Arabidopsis thaliana: one gene and its partners. The protein of the gene in region 1 binds, or shares a complex with, the protein of each later gene. Each region holds a gene or a part of one and is shown in the gene's direction. Other genes may lie near its edges. The genes, in order: STV1, RPL16A, AT5G45775 and AT3G58700.

Region 1 (5,049 bases):
TCTTAGTAAAATGATAAACCTATCTGCTGATGATTCTATTACCTTGCGTGGCATCATCCCAAGAAGCTCCATCATCAGAGCCAAGTGATCCTGTTAACAGAAAAGCCAATTAGATTTCCAAACTCCCACAATAGAAAATTGAAGCAAATCCACGCTAAGATCCCACAAAACAAGAGAAGAGAAAGCCAAAATATGTAAAAACCACAAATGCACACAGCCAAAAGACAGCAGGGAACTTAAGCATACCTCATCTCTATCATAATTGTCGCCACTATGGGGATCAAATAGCACATCTCCAGTGACAAGTTCAAAACATATGCACGCGAATGACCAGAGATCTGCAGATGTAGAGTATTTAGATCCAAGGATTACTTCTGGACACCTATACTGTCTCGTTTGAATGTCGCTTGTGAACTGTTTGTATGTCCAACACGCATTACCAAAGTCAACAAGTTTACACTTGAGGTCAGCAGATGCCACAAGGTGCCTTCGACTTGATCGACTCCCTTTCTTACCACCCTGCTTTCCTTTCTCGCTACCATCTAATTCAATTGCGTCAGAAGTAGAAGGACAATCTTCTTCAACCGATTTTTCTGCAGCACATTGTTTTCCATTAACCGGTGATCCCACTCCACGAACTTTATCAGATTCCGTATTGCCCTTATTCTCTGCATGTCCCTGAGCCGAAAGCTTTGCCTTTCTATGACTTCCTGTTTTTTGATTCTTGACAAAATCACCATTGGAGTCAACAACTGTATTATCCTTATCAGTGGGGAGAACAAGAGGAGCTCCAGACTTCCTCGGATCTTTAGACGGATCAATAGTTGACGGTAACAAAACATTCTCAGGCTTCAAATCAGTATGTATAATCGAAAGCTGTTTATGCAAGTAGTCTAAACCAACCAACATATGATAACAAATCTCCTTAACCATAGGAATAGGTAAGCCACGGTAATCAGAATACTTAATCAACGTTAACAGATTATCTCCCAAATACTCAAAAACCATACATACATGCTGACCATTCGGACCTGAGTGTTTGAAATGATCCAAAAGCTTCACAACACATTTGGTATCATCAGTGTCTCCCTCTGCAATCTGTTGCAATATTGTTATCTCATCCATGGCTGCTTCAGTATAATGCTGAGCACTCTTTTGCACCTTCAAAGCCACATATCTCTGTACATTCGATATACGAGTAAGAAAATCACACAAACAAAGCAACGAAAAATTAATCTCTAAAGCATTTCAAGCAATTCGTGTGGCGAGAGAGAGAGATAGATGCGTACAGAGGATTGAGTATCCCAGGAGAGCCAAACAGTAGAGAAATGGCCCCAACCGAGTTTGCTCTGGACAACGTACCGGCCGGTTTTGAATGAGTCACCGATCCGAACGGCGTGGTAACCGCCGCGTCGGTAATCTTCTGTACCTTCGTCCTCCGACGTGTATTCACCACCGTCGCTGTTCCACTTCTCCGCCTCCATATTCAGTAAATCTAGACGCAACGCGAGACAAACTAAGCTCTCTACTCTTGGAATATCCGGCGACGATTCAATCCAATTTTGTGGATCTCTCTCTCTTTTGATTTGATTTTTTCTGGAAGCTTGTGCAGAGAGAGAGCTTAGCTACTTGTTCAAACTTTCATCTACCTTTTACGAAACGTCACCGTTTTTTAGGTCCATTGACAAGTTTCCTCTACCGTCGTCGGCTATGGGAAAAAATCAAAAAATTATTGGAGGAGAGCTGACGTCATCACTACAAAAATATATGGGCTAATAAAATTATGGGCCTATTTGTGATGGGCCTATTTAGTGGGCTTAAAGTGTGGGCCAGAATAATATATATAGACGAAAATGGCATTGGGTGAAATGTGAAGTCTCTTATATATAAGTATCGAGAGAATTAGGGTTTTCTAGTCTAGTGTTTCCGGGAGCAGCCTGAGCAGGAGGAAGAAGACGAAGAAGAAGAGGAGCAGCTACTACCATGGTTCTCAAGTAATCAAATCTCACCTCTCTCTCTCTCTCTGTATCTGTTCCTGTGTTGAATCTATTAACATCGCCTAGTGATAATGATTCATGATTTCACACTATCGGAAGGATCGATTCACTGAAATTGACTCTTGTTTCAATCGGAATTTATGATATGTTTTGCTTTACCGTTAGCTAAGCTGGGTAATTTCATGGTCTCTGTGTAGCTGGATCTGGTTCTAAGTAATAAAAGTATGATACTTCGTTAATATCTGTGATTAGTCTGTATTTGGTATATGGATGATTCATTTCTATCATGTAGACTGAGATTTTTCAGTGTCAAAGATCATTTGGTTGTCATTTCTAGTTGCAATGTCTCATTTGTTTATTATCTATGAAATACAGGACGGAGCTTTGTCGTTTCAGTGGACAGAAGATTTACCCAGGAAGAGGAATTAGGTTTATCCGATCTGATTCTCAGGTTGGTTCTTTTATGAATCTTCAGCTAATCAAATTGATTTGTTTATACTTTGCAAATGTTTTGGTTTTAGTCTTTTAATGGTTTGTATTGTTTTCAGGTTTTCTTGTTTCTTAACTCAAAATGTAAGAGGTACTTCCATAACAAGTTGAAGCCATCCAAGCTTGCATGGACTGCCATGTACAGAAAGCAACACAAGAAGGTAAAAAAAAAACTCAGTAATTTGGATCTGTTTTGTTGTTTGTACTTTGTTTTTTTTCATTGATCCTGATTTGTTAACATTCTAAAACTCTGTTTCTTTTATAGGATGCAGCACAAGAGGCTGTGAAGAGAAGGAGACGTGCCACCAAGAAGCCATACTCAAGGTCCATTGTTGGTGCTACCTTGGAAGTAATTCAGAAGAAGAGAGCTGAGAAGCCTGAAGTTCGTGATGCAGCCAGGGAAGCTGCTCTGCGGTTAGTTTTCTCCCTCTGTCAAATCATCCAACTAGGATTAAAATAGTTATATTTGACTTAATAAATGTATTGTGATGATGATTCAACAAACAGTGAGATCAAGGAAAGAATCAAAAAGACCAAAGATGAAAAGAAGGCTAAGAAGGTGGAATTTGCTTCTAAGCAACAGAAGGTCAAGGCTAATTTCCCCAAAGCTGCTGCTGCATCCAAGGGTCCTAAGGTGGGAGGTGGTGGTGGCAAACGCTGAAGAGCTTAAAGCCATCTTTTCTCACTCTGCGTCTTTTCTGCTAGTAGCTACTTTTAGTAGTTGATGTTCATTTCTGAATATTTGCAAAACATAAACCTTGTTATTTCGTTTTTGTCTCTCACTTTTGCTACTCTTATAATATCAGACTTGAGAATTTTGCTGCTTATGAACTTTATTTCACTGCTCTCTCTTGTCCTCCTATCATTAAAATCAGAAGAGTTTGTGTTCCTATAATAACTCTTTTTAAAACATTGTTTACTATCTTGCTACGCAATCTCATATCACCCGGTTGTGTTCAATAGCCGATTCTAATTGCAACTACTGAGCTAACAGCAACCTTGGTTATGTATCTTATGCTCTTTTGCTAAAATCGATTTAAGGATTGTTGTGAACATGTGACAACTTCAATTGTTACGGATTGCATCAGAACTGAAATTGCATTGTAAGGAACACCATGAATATTGGTTGATTTTTTCACACTGTTCAGTTAATTCATTTCAACAAGATTTATGTTGTTGGTCAATAACTTTAGCAATAAATTTACTTGTGGAAAATTTTCACGGGGCCAAAACATAACATATGTGGTTGGAGAAATATTTCGTTCATGCATGATCCTTGTCCCCCAAAAAGCCATACTCGCTTAAGTACATTTCGATACATTCGAGATATGATAGAAAACTGTTGTCCCTTTTGTTCGATTCTATTGTATTGTATAATAAAACTAAGCTAAGTTTTTAAAATTTTGGATAATGGGTGCTAATTTTTACTAAAACTTTGGGAATGTTTATAGTTTGTGTATAAGTATGAAATCCATATAATCTGTTGAAACAAAAACGTTTCCTAAGTTTATTTTTTATTTACTGATTTATGAGTTTTAACTTTATAAAATAAAATTATATAATTTAAAACCGAAGCGATTTTCTTTGGCTTAGGTTATATTACGAAATGGGCATGTGAAACACTATATAATGGAAGGAGGTAAGAAGAAGAAAATGATAACTCTACCACATTACCACCATTCTTACACCTTCCTTTTTCTTTCTTTTCCTTTTCGTTTGATTTTGGAAAGCAAGGGACTGTCGTCTCGGTTCGCGATCCACAAGTAATCTTTTGTGGAGATTATGAAAACAATCATCACGAGAGGCTACGTGTGGGTGGCAAACAAAGACGACAATCCCTATTCCAGTTCCATCAGAACTTGAAATATCATGTGAACTCTTGTGTCCCAACAGACACTTTACTACGGTGATGAAACTTGTTTGTTGTTAAGTGGGCATAGAGAACCAACCGGCCTCAATAAGTGTTAAGGTCATAGAAAAACGTAGACTGATCATCTAAATTCGTCATGAGCCTCTGTGGTAGCCCTCACAATGATCTCAATAGAGTGCATGCCACGATCTTGTAAAGACGTAGATGAGGGCTCCTCAGGTGTTCATGTCGAATGTTAGATGATGTATGTTAAAGTTTCTTACAACTCTACATCGTTAACACTTTAATCATAAATTGATATGCAGGTTTTCTGATTTGGAGAGGAGAGCTGTTTCATTGAGAGTTTTTAACTGTCTCCATGGTCAAGATAAGTAAGTCACATATTTGGCAATTATTGATCTCGATAAGTTCTGTCCCTAGCTAGAATCAAGAATGGGATCTTATATGTGGCTATCCAAACTCATAATTCATAATGATTTTGGTTAAAGAGTATTCGTCAAGCCAAAATATTAGCCTCACAATTTTAATTTTGATTGTTGGCTATTATTATGCTTCTGCTGAGTTTTGTCAGGTTTTGGTAAAAATAAACTAAAAGTCAGAAACCGCAATTGCAACATCTATAGGTATATAATATATTAGTAATAACCTCCTTTTTATTTTGATCGGTATATTTTTTGGCCATGATTCTTGGCT
Region 2 (4,900 bases), on another chromosome or scaffold:
ACTGCTTCTTAATATGGCAGATTTTGAATAAAGAAAAGGTTTCACGAGAGAAGATTAGAACACTAATATGTATGACAAAAGCTTTCTTCTTGATTCAATGAAGTCACACTCATTTCAAATCCATAAATAATAAAGCTTACTTAAGTACTATAGTTGGTTAAACTCACAATAATATGACAATGTTTTGCTACTAATCACATCACTTGGATCAGTTATTTTTTGTTAAAACCTTGACTTGGATCTTACACTTTGATGACGCTCTTGGAAGCATCATAAGATTCCTCATTTCCATGGTGGTTTGCAAGTTATTACTGTTGTTTACCACGCAAATTTTCACTAGCTCAAGACACGGTAACTTCTCCAAGAAATGCTTCATTTGATTCAGCTCTCTTGTCGTTCCTTGATAGCTCAATATCTCCAGCACCTTCACTTGAGATGATGATAGGCAAGAGGTTATGCTCTCGTCGGTATCATAGCAAACACATACATCCCCACATCTGTTTGTTATGTAGTGATCGAGACCCTGAAGCATAACAAAGAAAAAGAGTAATGTTAACGACCTACCAATATATATATGGTGTTTAGGATGTGTTTGTGACATGAGATACCATGAAGATGAGGGTTTCTAGGTTTGGAGAGTTCTTGATCAGAAGTGGCAGCATTTGCCATCCTCTTGCCTTGTCATTCCCAATAGATAGACTAACAAGGCTGTCGAACAATGGCATTTCTTTACATGAGAAATAAAGCAGCTTCAACAAAACACAATGTGTTAGTCTGTTGTCACTCAATAACACAAAAGTTGAAATAAATCATCAAAAGCCCCAAGTGAATCTCATTCTCGATAAGCAAAAAAAAAGAAGAATGTTATTTATAAGGAAAGAACAATATATAGAGGAGGCTGACCTCTAGAGTGTGGCTAGATAAGTGAAGGATTCTAACATTTCTGATTCCATTGATGAGATTTCTCATATCAGCGGGAATGGAACCGAGAGATCCATTTCTTACTCCCACCATTCTTGTTTCATCCATCCGAAGATTGAGTCTAGCTTCGATGAGGGAATCCAACTTAACATTAGGATACTTACCCAAAACATAACCAGAGTGTTTGTAGTAGATAAGATTAGGAGCATCTAATGAAATACTAGTAAACTTGCGATCAAATCGGATGTGTAGTCTCTTTAGAGATGGAGAAGACACGGAACAAGTCCAATCTACACATCGCCGCTCCTCAACAACCAGTTCTTCGAGAACAGGACAGCGAGATATAAGAGTTCCAACAACATTATGACCTCCAACAAAATTAACTGAGTCAAGACATAATGTCCTAAGCAAAGGAAGAGAAACATCTTGAGAAAGCTTGATTGTAAAACCACGTCCTACTCTCAGCTTAACCAATGTCTTGCTCTTAAAGATCATTGCAGGCACTGGTGGAGATTTTCCTTTTAAAGTAATGAACACATCAAGATCCATAACACCATGGTCAAGAACGTTGCAAATCCAACTTTGAATGCGAGATGAATCAGTGCCACCTCGAACACCAACATGACTCTTTAGAGTGAGCTTCTTTATAGAAGAACCACGTTGCGTATCTAGCAATTTGTCAACGAAAGCCATGTAATTTCTGTGAATCTCAATCCGGTTTTGCTTAGTCTTAGGCACAGATTGACGATCATCAATATCAAGATTGGAAACCAAAACAAACATGTTCTTCCACCTCTTAGAGAGTACTGAGGTTGAAACAGCTTCTTTTGTGGAGATAAGAGACAGAATACGCCCAAGAACCTCATCTGGTAGACGGCTGATTACATCTTTAGCATTCATTGATACCAAAACCTTAAAACCACAGCAATTGGATTCAGAAACAGTAACTAGACAGAGTTGATGAGTTCAAAGGTCTGTTCTTTTTCATACAATGCAAAGTCTAATACAAAAGTTATCATGTATCTCTTCAATCACATTGATTACCATAGAAATGAAAAAGACGAAACAGAGCAGACAACATACCTTGCTAAAGTGCTACTTGCTACAGAGTCGTGAAAGCTCTCCACTTTCAATACCAATTTAATCGTGAGATCAAAAGTGAAAACATCGAATACTAGGGTTTTGGAAAGTTTAAGAGAAGAGACGAAGAAACTGAAACAACTTATTATAAGCAATTTCCTCCATTTCCACATGAGGAAAGAGTAAAGCAGAAAGACTGATGAAGAAAAGGTAAGTAGTCTGTTTGGGAAAGAAAGTCACGTGAGAGAAGCGTGGGCCTTTAAGGGTAAAACTGTCATTTAAATAGTCGCCGTTCTTTACACTTAGGATTAGGGCTTCTAACATTTAAATAGTCGTTTCGTTCTCCGTCTCTCCTTTCCCGTCGGCCGGTGATAATTTCGCAACCCAAATTCCAAATGGTAAGTTTCAGTTCTTGGATTTGTATGATTTTGTAATGTGAATAGGGATTTGAAGATTTACTTACTTTTGAAATTCAGGCGTCGGAGAAGAAGCTATCGAACCCAATGAGGGACATTAAAGTGCAGAAGCTGGTTCTCAACATCTCCGTTGGTGAGAGTGGAGATCGTCTCACCAGAGCCTCCAAGGTTCCTCCTGTTTTTTACCCATTCTCTGTGGTTTTCACTCTTGTTGTCACTTGGTTATAATCGATTGATTCGTGGTTACTTGGTAGGTTTTGGAACAATTGAGTGGTCAGACTCCTGTTTTCTCCAAAGGTTAGATTTTTTCTCATATTTGAAAGCTTACAAATAGTCTGGTTGATAGATTTAGTAATCTAGAAGAATTTGGGAAACATAGTTTAGTTAAGTCTATGAATGGGTGCATGGTTTGATGATGAATTTGAGATTTTGGAATCCAGTAAGTCCCTTATCTGGTGGTTTGTGATAACTTGATAAGCCTACCAGTCCAAATTAGGAGCTGTTCGTTTCCCCGCTTCTGATATAGTTGCGTTGTGCACTCTGTTTTATATGCATCGCTTTTGGTTTGCTCTGAGAGACATGATTTGGTTTAGCTTCTTCCATTGCAATTTTCAAGAACCCTTGTTATGTGTGGCTTTTGCAGCTAGATACACTGTTCGTTCTTTTGGTATCAGACGTAACGAGAAGATCGCATGCTATGTAACCGTCAGAGGTGAGAAGGCAATGCAACTACTTGAAAGTGGATTGAAAGTCAAGGAATACGAACTTCTCAGAAGAAACTTCAGTGACACTGGTTGCTTCGGTTTTGGTATTCAAGAACACATTGATTTGGGTATCAAGTAAGTCAATCCCCTTAAATCATCCTGTCATAACACTTGGGGTTCACCACATTCTTGGTGATACTCATTGATCTTTGTTTCACTTCTTATAAAGGTACGATCCATCAACTGGAATCTATGGTATGGACTTCTATGTGGTCCTAGAACGTCCTGGCTACCGTGTAGCACGTCGCAGAAGGTGCAAGGCTCGTGTTGGTATCCAACACAGAGTAACTAAAGACGATGCAATGAAATGGTTCCAGGTGAAATACGAAGGAGTCATTCTCAACAAGTCCCAGAACATCACTGGCTAAAACAATTCCTCCTAACTCTTTCTTCTGTTTTAGAAAACCCTGTCTCAGTTTTGTTTACTTGTCTGAATCTTAATCTTTGTACTTTATATGCATTATTGGCTTTAGTTTCAGTTATTTAAGTATCTAATTTCGTGTGAGGATAAGCAAGATAAGAAAATTTTGGCGGGTAGTTGAAGCGTGTGGAGACATATAAATCCACTAGCTGACACGTGCCACGGACGGCTAAGCACGCTTTCGCCGATCGCCGATCGCCGCTAGATTCATCTCGGATTCCTCCAAATAAGCTTCCCTGGTTCTTATCTTGCCACGTCAGCATTTCTCCCTCGTACGCCTTAAATTCTTCACAAAAATAATAAAAATATTAATTCAAATAAATGTTCATCTTCTCCTACGAATGAAATTGAAATTAATTTGAGCGATCGGAACAGGATCGGGTCGGATCTTTTGAAGTTCTTCAATGGCGCAGATACTTTCCCCTGTTTGTACGGATCTTTTGAAGTTCCAGAACTCAGCTCTTAGCTCCAGATCAGGTGCGTCGCCGCGGTTCTCGGCGAAGACCACCGGTGCTTCTTCATCTTGGTACTTACCTCGGTACGCAGGAAAGAGGCGAACCGATTCAATCGGAAGATTGAGAGTTGCAACTGAGGATGCTTCTTCTCTTTCCACCGGTGATGTCGCCGATGATTACTATGCCGTTCTCGGACTCGTAAGAACCAAGGCTATTTCAATCCGATTTGATATATGCATATAGGGATTTTGAAGTGATGATTTTTTTTTTTGGTTTAAGTTGTTTGCTTATGATTGAAACTTCTTGTGTATCATGGAAAAATACTCTGCATTTCATATGGTTGTAGCTAGATTCATCTTTGTCGAAATTGTGAAGCCTTTGACAGGTTACAATCATTAAGATCAAAGATTGTGACTTTAATAACTCTCCTTTGCTATGTCAATAGCTTCCAGATGCTACGCAGGAGGAGATTAAGAAAGCTTACTATAACTGTATGAAATCGTGCCATCCAGACTTGAGTGGCAATGACCCCGAAACCACAAATTTCTGCATGTTCATTAACGATATCTATGAGGTGAGTTTTTTACTTGACTTCCTTATAGATTTTTGTAAGCGTTTAGTAAGGTCCATATGCTTTTTCGTTTAATGATTTACCGTTGCATTGCAGATTCTCAGTGACCCTGTACAGCGTATGGTTTACGATGAAATTCATGGGTATACAGTGACTGCCATCAATCCTTTTCTTGATGACTCCACCCCAAGGGATCATGTTTTTGTTGATGAGTTTGCTTGTATAGGTATTCTTTCTTCAATTTAGAGGCTGCGTGCTTTGATGATCTGGAA
Region 3 (5,039 bases), on another chromosome or scaffold:
TCGCTGGCCTCTCAGGTCTTTCTTTCTTGTATGTCTTACTCTACCTAACATTACAGCTCCAGGAAATTTCTATTTCGTATAATGTTTCTTAGACTAATGTTTTTTTATTTATGAAAAACTTGAATAGGGATCTATCTTTCAACAATCTAAGCGGACCAACTCCGAATATATCAGCAAAAGATTACAGGTAAGATATGCGAAAAATGCATGATTATTAGCCGTTGCAACTTATGTGAAAGCTTCTTGATAAACTTTTCTGTTTTAGGATTGTAGGAAATGCATTTCTTTGTGGTCCAGCTTCCCAAGAGCTTTGCTCAGATGCTACACCTGTGAGAAATGGTATGTTGCTTCGAAAATTCTTTGCAAAACTTTATTTAAAACATGGTTTCGTTTATTTAACTAGCTGCAATCGATCTGCAGCGACGGGTTTGTCTGAAAAGGACAATAGCAAACATCACAGCTTAGTGCTCTCTTTTGCATTTGGCATTGTTGTTGCCTTTATCATCTCCCTAATGTTTCTCTTCTTCTGGGTGCTTTGGCATCGATCACGTCTCTCAAGATCACACGGTACATATCTAATAGTCTCTCTCTGTCTGTCATATACAATATATGTCAAGACTTTGCTAAAATCTGCATTACTTTTTATGGATTTCTTAGTGCAGCAAGACTACGAATTTGAAATCGGCCATCTGAAAAGGTTCAGTTTTCGCGAAATACAAACCGCAACAAGCAATTTTAGTCCAAAGAACATTTTGGGACAAGGAGGGTTTGGGATGGTTTATAAAGGGTATCTCCCAAATGGAACTGTGGTGGCAGTTAAAAGATTGAAAGATCCGATTTATACAGGAGAAGTTCAGTTTCAAACCGAAGTAGAGATGATTGGCTTAGCTGTTCACCGTAACCTTTTACGCCTCTTTGGATTCTGTATGACCCCGGAAGAGAGAATGCTTGTGTATCCGTACATGCCAAATGGAAGCGTAGCTGATCGTCTGAGAGGTTTTCAATTAACACATTTCTTGTTTTGTTATTCTTTCGATATATAACGCGAAAAGTTCCTTATAAGATTACATGTTTCAGACAATTATGGAGAAAAGCCGTCTCTAGATTGGAATCGGAGGATAAGCATTGCACTCGGCGCAGCTCGAGGACTTGTTTACTTGCACGAGCAATGCAATCCAAAGATTATTCACAGAGACGTCAAAGCTGCAAATATTCTACTTGATGAGAGCTTTGAAGCAATAGTTGGCGATTTTGGTCTAGCAAAGCTTTTAGACCAGAGAGATTCACATGTCACTACCGCAGTCCGAGGAACCATTGGACACATCGCTCCCGAGTACCTTTCCACTGGACAGTCCTCAGAGAAAACCGATGTTTTCGGATTCGGAGTACTAATCCTTGAACTCATAACAGGTCATAAGATGATTGATCAAGGCAATGGTCAAGTTCGAAAAGGAATGATATTGAGCTGGGTAAGTAAAAAAATTCTATGAGTCATTTACTCAACTTAGACTGAACCCATAAGGACAAAACTTAAATCTAAACCATTGGTTTTTGTAGGTAAGGACATTGAAAGCAGAGAAGAGATTTGCAGAGATGGTGGACAGAGATTTGAAGGGAGAGTTTGATGATTTGGTGTTGGAGGAAGTAGTGGAATTGGCTTTGCTTTGTACACAGCCACATCCGAATCTAAGACCGAGGATGTCTCAAGTGTTGAAGGTACTAGAAGGTTTAGTGGAACAGTGTGAAGGAGGGTATGAAGCTAGAGCTCCAAGTGTCTCTAGGAACTACAGTAATGGTCATGAAGAGCAGTCCTTTATTATTGAAGCCATTGAGCTCTCTGGACCACGATGATAGACTTCATAGTGTCTTAACTAGTCTTCTTGATTTTGTTGTCATTGTCATGGCATTAACTGTAAAAATTTGTTTTCTCAATAACTCTTATTTATTCTGTTCTTCCAAAAATAAATGAAGATTTGCGTTTCCACAGTCTCATAAAAAATTATCTATCGTTAATTTTAAAACTCATACATAATAAAGTGATTCGGCGAATGAAAGACTATTTGCCTTATGTAACTAAGAAGGCCAAATATATGCTTAAGATTATGCTTTTCTTATGGGCTTTATAATATTGGCCCATTAAACCATTTTAATAAATCAAAGGGGTAATTTCGTCATTGCGTTAATTCAAGAAACCCTAAGTACCGACCCATATAAGTTCTCTCACTTTGCACTCGACGCAGTTTTGGGCTTTGCAAACTCTACACTGCTTCGTCTCTTAGCTCGACATTGATCTCCTTAAAATGGTATTTGTTTCGTTCGTCTCTGTAGATCGATTCAATGAAAATGTGTTTAGTTCAATGGGTTTATTTTTCGGCTTTGTTTTGTTTCTCAGGCGTCGGAGAAGAAGCTCTCGAACCCCATGAGGGACATTAAGGTTCAGAAACTTGTTCTCAACATTTCCGTTGGTGAGAGTGGTGATCGTCTCACTCGTGCCTCCAAGGTTCGATTTTGTTTGTAAAAATCTGACCTTTACGATTATCCATCATTGATTTAGTGATTTAGATTTGAATTATTGTTTTTGGTTATTTCGTATAGGTGTTGGAGCAGCTCAGTGGACAAACCCCTGTCTTCTCTAAGGGTATGTGAATTTGAAATCTTTCAGGGATTTAAGTTTGATTTTGTGTTGATCTTGATTCTGATGTATGTTGTGGTTTTTGTTATACAGCGAGGTACACTGTGAGGTCTTTTGGTATCAGGCGTAATGAGAAGATTGCGTGTTATGTGACTGTGAGAGGTGAGAAGGCAATGCAGCTTCTTGAGAGTGGTTTGAAAGTTAAGGAGTATGAGCTTCTTAGGAGGAACTTCAGTGACACTGGTTGCTTTGGATTTGGTATCCAAGAGCACATTGATCTTGGAATCAAGTAAGTTTTCTGTTTCTTTTGCGATGAAAGTTTCCTTGAATTAGTTACATTAATGGCTTTGTATAATGGTTTTGGTACTTGGATTCTTCATGTATCTGTATATGTTTAAAAGAATTTCAGTTGCATCTAAATGTCAAGTCTCTAAATTAGGGGTTTTGTGAGGTTTAGTCAGAATGCAGACTACTTTGGTTTTCGCTGAGTGTTATAGTTTTTGTGGAATTTTAAGTATGGATTGGATTAAAAATGAGCCCTTTACTAGTTTTTGGTTGAATGCTAGATTTGGGTCTAGTAAAAGATGAATGCTTTACTGTTTTTCAAGGGTGTTAGATTCGAAACTGATTAACTGGTTTATTTGAAATGTTTACTGTTCTCATGTGTTTTATTTTGTGTATATAGGTACGATCCTTCCACTGGTATCTACGGAATGGACTTTTACGTTGTCCTTGAACGCCCAGGATATCGTGTGGCTCGCCGCCGTAGATGCAAGACTCGTGTTGGTATTCAACACAGAGTAACCAAGGATGATGCAATGAAATGGTTCCAGGTCAAGTATGAAGGAGTTATCCTCAACAAGTCTCAGAACATCACTGGTTAAAAAGTGTTTTGATCTTTAAAGATTTTTGTTGATTCTAGCTTATTTTAAGTTGTTATCTTTGGATGTTAAAGAATTTCTTGTTGTAGTAAATCTTTTGACATCAGTTTGGTAGAATCTAAATCTTCCAAGAACCTTGGAGATATGTTTCTTATTTTATTCAATGTCATCATCAAAACTAAAATCAATCAAAAGCAGCTCCTTTGATTTCATTGTCCTTATAGATGAATATGTCTCTGGACTACACAGTCCCTAAACTAACCCTATGTTTTGAACAAATTTGTATAAATAAAACTAAAGATACTCATAACCACAATTCATAAATACACTCATAACCACAATTCATAAATACTAAAACAGGAGAAAATAAAATAAAACATTTAGAAGGAGAGAAGGGTGAATACACAACCAATACAAAATTACTACGTCCCAGACTTCTCAAATCAAACGACACCTTTTAGCGAGATAAAAGAGGAAGAGGATTAAGAACACAAGCGAGAAAAGACCAATGCCGAGACCAAACAGAGTCTTGTTGGAACCTTTGTGTTCTTCTTCTTCTTCTTCCTTCGTCTTCAGATTCTCCGTCTTCTCCTCATTGCCTCCTTCAACGTCGTAATCGTTTTCTCCTGACAAAGATTCCTCCTTTTGCGACGGAGACCATAAAGGAAAACCGTATTTATCACACGGAGCAAGACCCTCCAATTTCAAGTTCGAGGAGAGAACAGTTTTGTTATAACAGAGCTCACTGTTCCTTCCAATTTCGAAAAAGTTGAGATTTTTGATGAAGCTTTCGTTGAATGGTAAAACTCCATGGAAGGAGTTATCAGCGAGATTCAAGTGTTTGAGGTTCTTCATCTCGGAGAAGAAACTTGGAACGGTTCCGTTTAGTTGATTCATACTTAGATCCAAATGTGTAAGTTCAGAGATAGATGAGAGTGAATTTGGGATTGTTCCTGATAGTTTGTTTGAAGCTAAAGATAAGTTTTTTAGAAAAGTTAAGCTTTTGATTTTGTTTGGTATTTGGCCAGAGAGAGAGTTATGAGATAAGTTTAAGGACTTGAGGTTTTTGAGACGAGTAATGGAAATGCGTATTGAGCCTTTGAGTGAGTTGTTTGATAAATCTATGTATCTGAGATTTGAGTGGAAAGATTTAGGGATAAGGCCAGTGAGATTTGAGTTTGAGATAGTGAGGGAAGTGAGTTTATGCATGTTTCCGAGGATGACATAAAGACGACGAGAGGTTTGGATTGGGGTTGAGGAAATGTAGAGGGTTTTGAGGTTTTTGAGACGAGCGAGGAAGAGGCCGGAGAGTTTGGTACGGTTGTTTTGGAGGAAGGAGGAGACGGCGGAGAAGGAGTGGAGGGAGATTGGGAGGTGGTATGGAGGAGAGAGTGAAGGGCAGTTAGTGAAAGAGAGGGAGATGAGAGATTTTGAGAGTGGTTTGAGTGTTTTGGAGGGGAGAGATAGAGTGGAGGAGCAGTTTGTGAAGGAGATTGAGGTGATGTGGCGGTAAGGAGAAGCGTCGT
Region 4 (4,931 bases), 2.0 Mb from region 1:
CACTTCATTTCTCCTTCTTATCTTTTTACCTGTATTTCTTGTTCTTACGCCGGATGCTGAAATTTGGTTCTAATTAAGGAATAATTTTGGAAGATAATTGTTCAATTAGGGTTCGATTTATGTTCTGGGTATTGAATCTGTTATTGTTTTACCTGTCGATTTTTAGGGTTTGATTGTGAGGAAAAAGGCGATTGTCAGAAAGTACAAGATGTTACTGAAAATGGGTTGCAAATTTTCACCTTTAAGCAATTGCATTCAGCAACTGGTGGATTTAGCAAGTCTAATGTGGTTGGGAATGGTGGGTTTGGCTTGGTTTATCGTGGTGTGCTTAACGATGGCAGAAAAGTTGCTATCAAGCTCATGGATCATGCAGGAAAGCAAGGGGAAGAAGAATTCAAGATGGAGGTTTGATTATTTTTAGCTTACTCTTTGATCTTTATTTTTTCAAAGCTTATGCACATTTTGCTGTTTGCAGCGTTTTTGATTACTTGATTGATCAATTTTTTGTATCTGGTGCCAGGTTGAGTTACTGAGCCGTCTGCGTTCACCATACTTGTTGGCACTTCTTGGTTATTGCTCAGACAATAGTCATAAGCTGCTTGTGTATGAGTTCATGGCAAATGGTGGTCTGCAGGAACACCTGTATCTTCCCAACAGTAAGTTTCTTTTTCCAGTAGAGTTAGAAGTTGCTGCATGTTTGAAGTTGTCATCTGAAGACTCCAAATTTAGTCTATCTGTCTAGATGCTAACAATTTGAACATGAATCCTAGATAGTGTATAATAATTACGAATTGGTGAATATACGTCTGGAATTCTTGTTGGATTTGATAGAAAAATCTCTTTTTCTTGCATTTAGGGTCTGGTTCTGTCCCACCAAGATTAGATTGGGAAACTAGGATGAGAATAGCTGTGGAAGCTGCAAAAGGCTTGGAATATCTCCATGAACAAGTATCACCCCCGGTGATTCATAGAGACTTTAAGAGCAGCAATATTCTGCTGGACAGAAACTTCAATGCCAAAGTTTCAGATTTTGGATTGGCTAAAGTCGGATCAGATAAAGCTGGTGGACACGTTTCTACCCGTGTATTAGGCACACAAGGATATGTAGCTCCTGAGTATGTTTTTCACTCAATCATCTCTTTGTTCTTGTTTCCATCAGTTAACTTTGATAGGTTGGATACTAATACCAATATTTTCAATATCTTATGTCAGGTACGCTTTAACTGGTCACTTGACAACAAAGTCGGATGTCTATAGCTACGGTGTTGTCCTGTTAGAGTTACTAACCGGTAGAGTTCCAGTAGATATGAAGAGAGCTACAGGAGAAGGTGTTCTTGTCTCTTGGGTACGCGTTCCTTTCACAAACTGCTCTTGTGTCATTTCTTCTTGTCTTTGCTCTAATAACTTAACTTTTCCTATCTCCAGGCTTTGCCTCAATTGGCTGATAGAGACAAAGTAGTAGACATAATGGATCCAACACTCGAAGGACAATACTCTACGAAAGAAGTTGTTCAAGTTGCAGCAATAGCAGCAATGTGTGTTCAAGCAGAAGCTGACTACAGACCCTTAATGGCAGATGTGGTGCAGTCACTGGTTCCATTAGTGAGAAACCGTAGGTCAGCTTCAAAGCTTAGTGGCTGCTCTAGTAGCTTTAGCTTGGCTCGGTCTCCTAACTCTCCGGGTAAAGCAAGCATAGGTTCTCAATGAATAAATCAATCAGAGAAGACGAAATGTGAGGCTTTTATTATGTAACGGTATTTACTAAAACAGACAATGATGTAAACACTTGAGTGATCAAACATGGAGTCATAGAGATAATCATCAAATAAACTTTTTCGAATCTCTATGGGCTACTAGTTATTGGGCCAATCCTGACCCATTACTATATTCTACAGAGACGAGAATGATATTAGTTCATGAGAAAAAAGGTCACGTGAGGGAACGTGGGCTTGATGGAGAAAGGAGGGTACAATCGTCATTTTGAGTACTCGTAAAATTTGCTTAGAACCCTAGAAGGCTAATTAGAACTAGGGTTTATATAGTTTGCCGCTTCATCTCCGTTTCTTCTTTCCGATTCGTGTTTTCCCGTCGGCCGGAGATATATCGCAACCCTAATCCGAAATGGTCCGTCGCAGTTAACTCCTCTTCTTTGGTTTCACGTTTTTTGATGTTTCAAATAGAGATTTGATGATATATATTTTGGTTGAATTCAGGCGTCGGAGAAGAAGCTATCGAACCCAATGAGGGACATTAAAGTGCAGAAGCTGGTTCTCAACATCTCCGTTGGTGAGAGTGGAGATCGTCTCACCAGAGCCTCCAAGGTTTCACTTTTTTTTATCTGTTTTGTCTGGTTTTCATATCAACCCTGTGTGTATGCTCGATTTTAATGGAATTAGTTCTTCGATAACTTGGTAGGTGTTGGAACAATTGAGTGGTCAGACTCCTGTTTTCTCCAAGGGTAAGTTATTTTCTAAGTTGTATCAATTCATCGTTCGATCTCTGAGAAAATTTGCTGGAGATAGTTAGTGATCTCGACTAAAACAGGGGCACGATGCTTCTGAAGTTTAGGACGATGAGTTAGTTTTTTTGAAGGTCATTAGTTCTTACTTTTTGGTGTATGATTTTTAATTGTTACTGGCCTGGATCCATAGATAATCGTAGTGAGAATCAGTAGCTCTATCAATTGTTTTGTATCAATTGCTTGGAAGATGATTGTAACTTTGTTTTGGATGAAGAGAGTTTTGACATAAATCTTAACACTTGTTATCTCTTTTGCAGCTCGATACACTGTTCGTTCTTTTGGTATAAGACGTAATGAGAAGATTGCTTGCTATGTGACTGTCAGGGGAGAGAAGGCAATGCAGCTCCTTGAGAGTGGATTGAAAGTTAAAGAATACGAACTCTTGAGAAGGAACTTCAGCGACACTGGTTGCTTTGGTTTTGGTATTCAAGAGCACATTGATTTGGGTATCAAGTAAGTCTCATTCTTTCTAACACATACATAGAACAACTTTAGAGTGGCTTTTGTGTAACCAGTGATCAAACGTACGGGGTTTTTAAATATATATTTGATCTCAGGTATGATCCATCGACTGGAATCTACGGCATGGACTTCTATGTTGTTCTTGAGCGACCAGGTTACCGTGTTGCGCGCCGCAGAAGATGCAAGACTCGTGTTGGAATCCAGCATAGAGTGACGAAAGATGATGCCATGAAATGGTTCCAGGTGAAATATGAAGGAGTCATTCTCAACAAGTCTCAGAACATCACTGGTTAAACAAATGTGTCAAACAAATAGCTATCATCTGTTTTGTTTTTTTTGGGTTCAAATCGTATTTTCTCAGTTTTGTTTTGCTTCTCTGTTCTTCAGACATTTTGATTTTCCTTTATATATTTTGCGTATCTACTACTCCGACAAAAGCTGACTAAAGGTCTAAAACACATTTCCGAATTTTCGATACTCCGACAGGTAATGAACATTCTCTATATCTACATAACTCATCCCCAAACCGTAATTTTGTAAAATAACACTCTTAGTTCAACAATAATCGTTTGTGTTATGACTTATAATCGCATTCTGGTGTTATAGTTAATAACTGCGTTATAGTTTTTCATGAGGTAAAATGCATTTTTACATAAATTTTTAAACGAATCTTTGACTATGCGTCTATATGTTTAATATTTAGAAGACGTGTCAATTATATAATTACCCTGTGTACTTGTACATTATTTAACATAACAACAACTTCAAAAACATTATCCAATCATGTTTCATTGTCAATTCTCAGTTGCATCAGATTCGAGCGAATTATTGATTGGTTCGACATTAATTATCATGATCAGAAGTGACCAAATCAAACATATACATTACATACGTTTTGTGTGTGTAAACACGCGTTACATACATAAACTAATCAGAAAACCTATACAACCAGAAAATACAAGTTTTGGCTCCATTCTGACAGAAGAAGTTGGAGACAATAATGGAGTAATTAAACTAATAATTATGACACAGGCTTTTATAGTTTTATCTATTTATGATTTTACAATTTAATAAAGGACTGGAGGAATCTTGACTTGATCCCACACAGATTTATTATAAGCCATTTCCAGCCCAAATTTCTGTACACATTTATAAAATATTAAAAGTCATTTGTCTCTAGACCCATATATATTTTTTATTTTTTATTTTTACTTTTTATCTCAGATGAATTGCAGTTTTTATCTGGCCAAATTCATCCACAAAACGTCATCAAATGTGACATATTAAGATAGTATCCATTTGTCATGAAAAGGGCCATGTCACTCTCTGGAAACTTTTTGGTTAAGATCTCATAACCTCTTTCTGTTGGATGGTACGGGCTAAAACATTAAAGCAACCGATTTTCTTGCATAAAAGCGATGTGAATCTGTTGTTTTTGTGAGCTTCATGTTTTTAATACTAATACTACAATAGTATTGGACTATTGGTTCCTTCTCATTTTTCGATATAAGATTCATAGCACGTTTTTATTTTTTTGGTATCAAGATTCATTGCACGTTATTTTTTGGACCTCTGATCACTTATTTTTTGGACCAGATTTTTTTTTGTTTGCTAATTCGGTTAAACCCATGTGAACTTGTTGGTAAATAATGAATTACTCAATGTCATTTTATATATTAGGGTTGGTAACCTCTAGCTTCCAATGAAAAGAGAGTTCTCGCGGTATGTAAACTTCTTAAAACGGAGGAGTCAATAAGATCTTGGATGGGGATATATACGAAAAAACTAAGCTTAGCAGAGAATAAGAGAACATTGTACATCAAGTTTTTAAATAACAGAAACTTCTTATGAAAATGACCTTGACATAAGATTCAAATTAAGGTTAATTTTCAATGGAATATAGATTTAGTCCAAAATGGATAAATCGTAAACAATAAGAAGAAAATAA

What was found.
Region 2: STV1 (region 1) and RPL16A share a complex: the UniProt entries of both Arabidopsis thaliana proteins name them as parts of the large ribosomal subunit.
Region 3: STV1 (region 1) and AT5G45775 share a complex: the UniProt entries of both Arabidopsis thaliana proteins name them as parts of the large ribosomal subunit.
Region 4: STV1 (region 1) and AT3G58700 share a complex: the UniProt entries of both Arabidopsis thaliana proteins name them as parts of the large ribosomal subunit.

Annotation. Positions count from the first base shown.
Region 1 is NC_003074.8:19,658,847-19,663,895, reverse strand, and holds STV1 (Ribosomal protein L24e family protein), read left to right. Parts: upstream 1-1,870; 5' UTR 1,871-1,983; coding exon 1,984-1,994; intron 1,995-2,372; coding exon 2,373-2,448; intron 2,449-2,545; coding exon 2,546-2,647; intron 2,648-2,751; coding exon 2,752-2,900; intron 2,901-2,993; coding exon 2,994-3,147; 3' UTR 3,148-3,408; downstream 3,409-5,049. Other genes in the region: SRPK4 (ser/arg-rich protein kinase 4), read right to left, coding at 43-90, 247-1,179, 1,290-1,484. UniProt on the Arabidopsis thaliana protein: Might have an extraribosomal function in reinitiation of translation of ETTIN and MONOPTEROS genes that are involved in the auxin-mediated gynoecium patterning.
Region 2 is NC_003071.7:17,789,398-17,794,297, forward strand, and holds RPL16A (ribosomal protein large subunit 16A), read left to right. Parts: upstream 1-2,294; 5' UTR 2,295-2,396; coding exon 2,397-2,399; intron 2,400-2,477; coding exon 2,478-2,585; intron 2,586-2,671; coding exon 2,672-2,714; intron 2,715-3,060; coding exon 3,061-3,256; intron 3,257-3,350; coding exon 3,351-3,549; 3' UTR 3,550-3,745; downstream 3,746-4,900. Other genes in the region: AT2G42730 (F-box/FBD/LRR protein), read right to left, coding at 209-523, 609-749, 904-1,821; AT2G42750 (DNAJ heat shock N-terminal domain-containing protein), read left to right, coding at 4,007-4,255, 4,503-4,631, 4,725-4,854. UniProt on the Arabidopsis thaliana protein: Component of the ribosome, a large ribonucleoprotein complex responsible for the synthesis of proteins in the cell.
Region 3 is NC_003076.8:18,563,758-18,568,796, reverse strand, and holds AT5G45775 (Ribosomal L5P family protein), read left to right. Parts: upstream 1-2,214; 5' UTR 2,215-2,300; coding exon 2,301-2,303; intron 2,304-2,326; exon of another isoform or gene 2,327-2,392; coding exon 2,393-2,500; intron 2,501-2,595; coding exon 2,596-2,638; intron 2,639-2,725; coding exon 2,726-2,921; intron 2,922-3,317; coding exon 3,318-3,516; 3' UTR 3,517-3,805; downstream 3,806-5,039. Other genes in the region: AT5G45780 (Leucine-rich repeat protein kinase family protein), read left to right, coding at 1-28, 128-187, 266-339, 421-567, 658-996, 1,078-1,469, 1,558-1,851; RLP55 (receptor like protein 55), read right to left, coding at 3,952-5,039. UniProt on the Arabidopsis thaliana protein: Component of the ribosome, a large ribonucleoprotein complex responsible for the synthesis of proteins in the cell.
Region 4 is NC_003074.8:21,709,540-21,714,470, forward strand, and holds AT3G58700 (Ribosomal L5P family protein), read left to right. Parts: upstream 1-1,905; 5' UTR 1,906-2,121; coding exon 2,122-2,124; intron 2,125-2,213; coding exon 2,214-2,321; intron 2,322-2,415; coding exon 2,416-2,458; intron 2,459-2,778; coding exon 2,779-2,974; intron 2,975-3,078; coding exon 3,079-3,277; 3' UTR 3,278-3,565; downstream 3,566-4,931. Other genes in the region: AT3G58690 (Protein kinase superfamily protein), read left to right, coding at 167-405, 521-656, 857-1,115, 1,213-1,345, 1,426-1,707. UniProt on the Arabidopsis thaliana protein: Component of the ribosome, a large ribonucleoprotein complex responsible for the synthesis of proteins in the cell.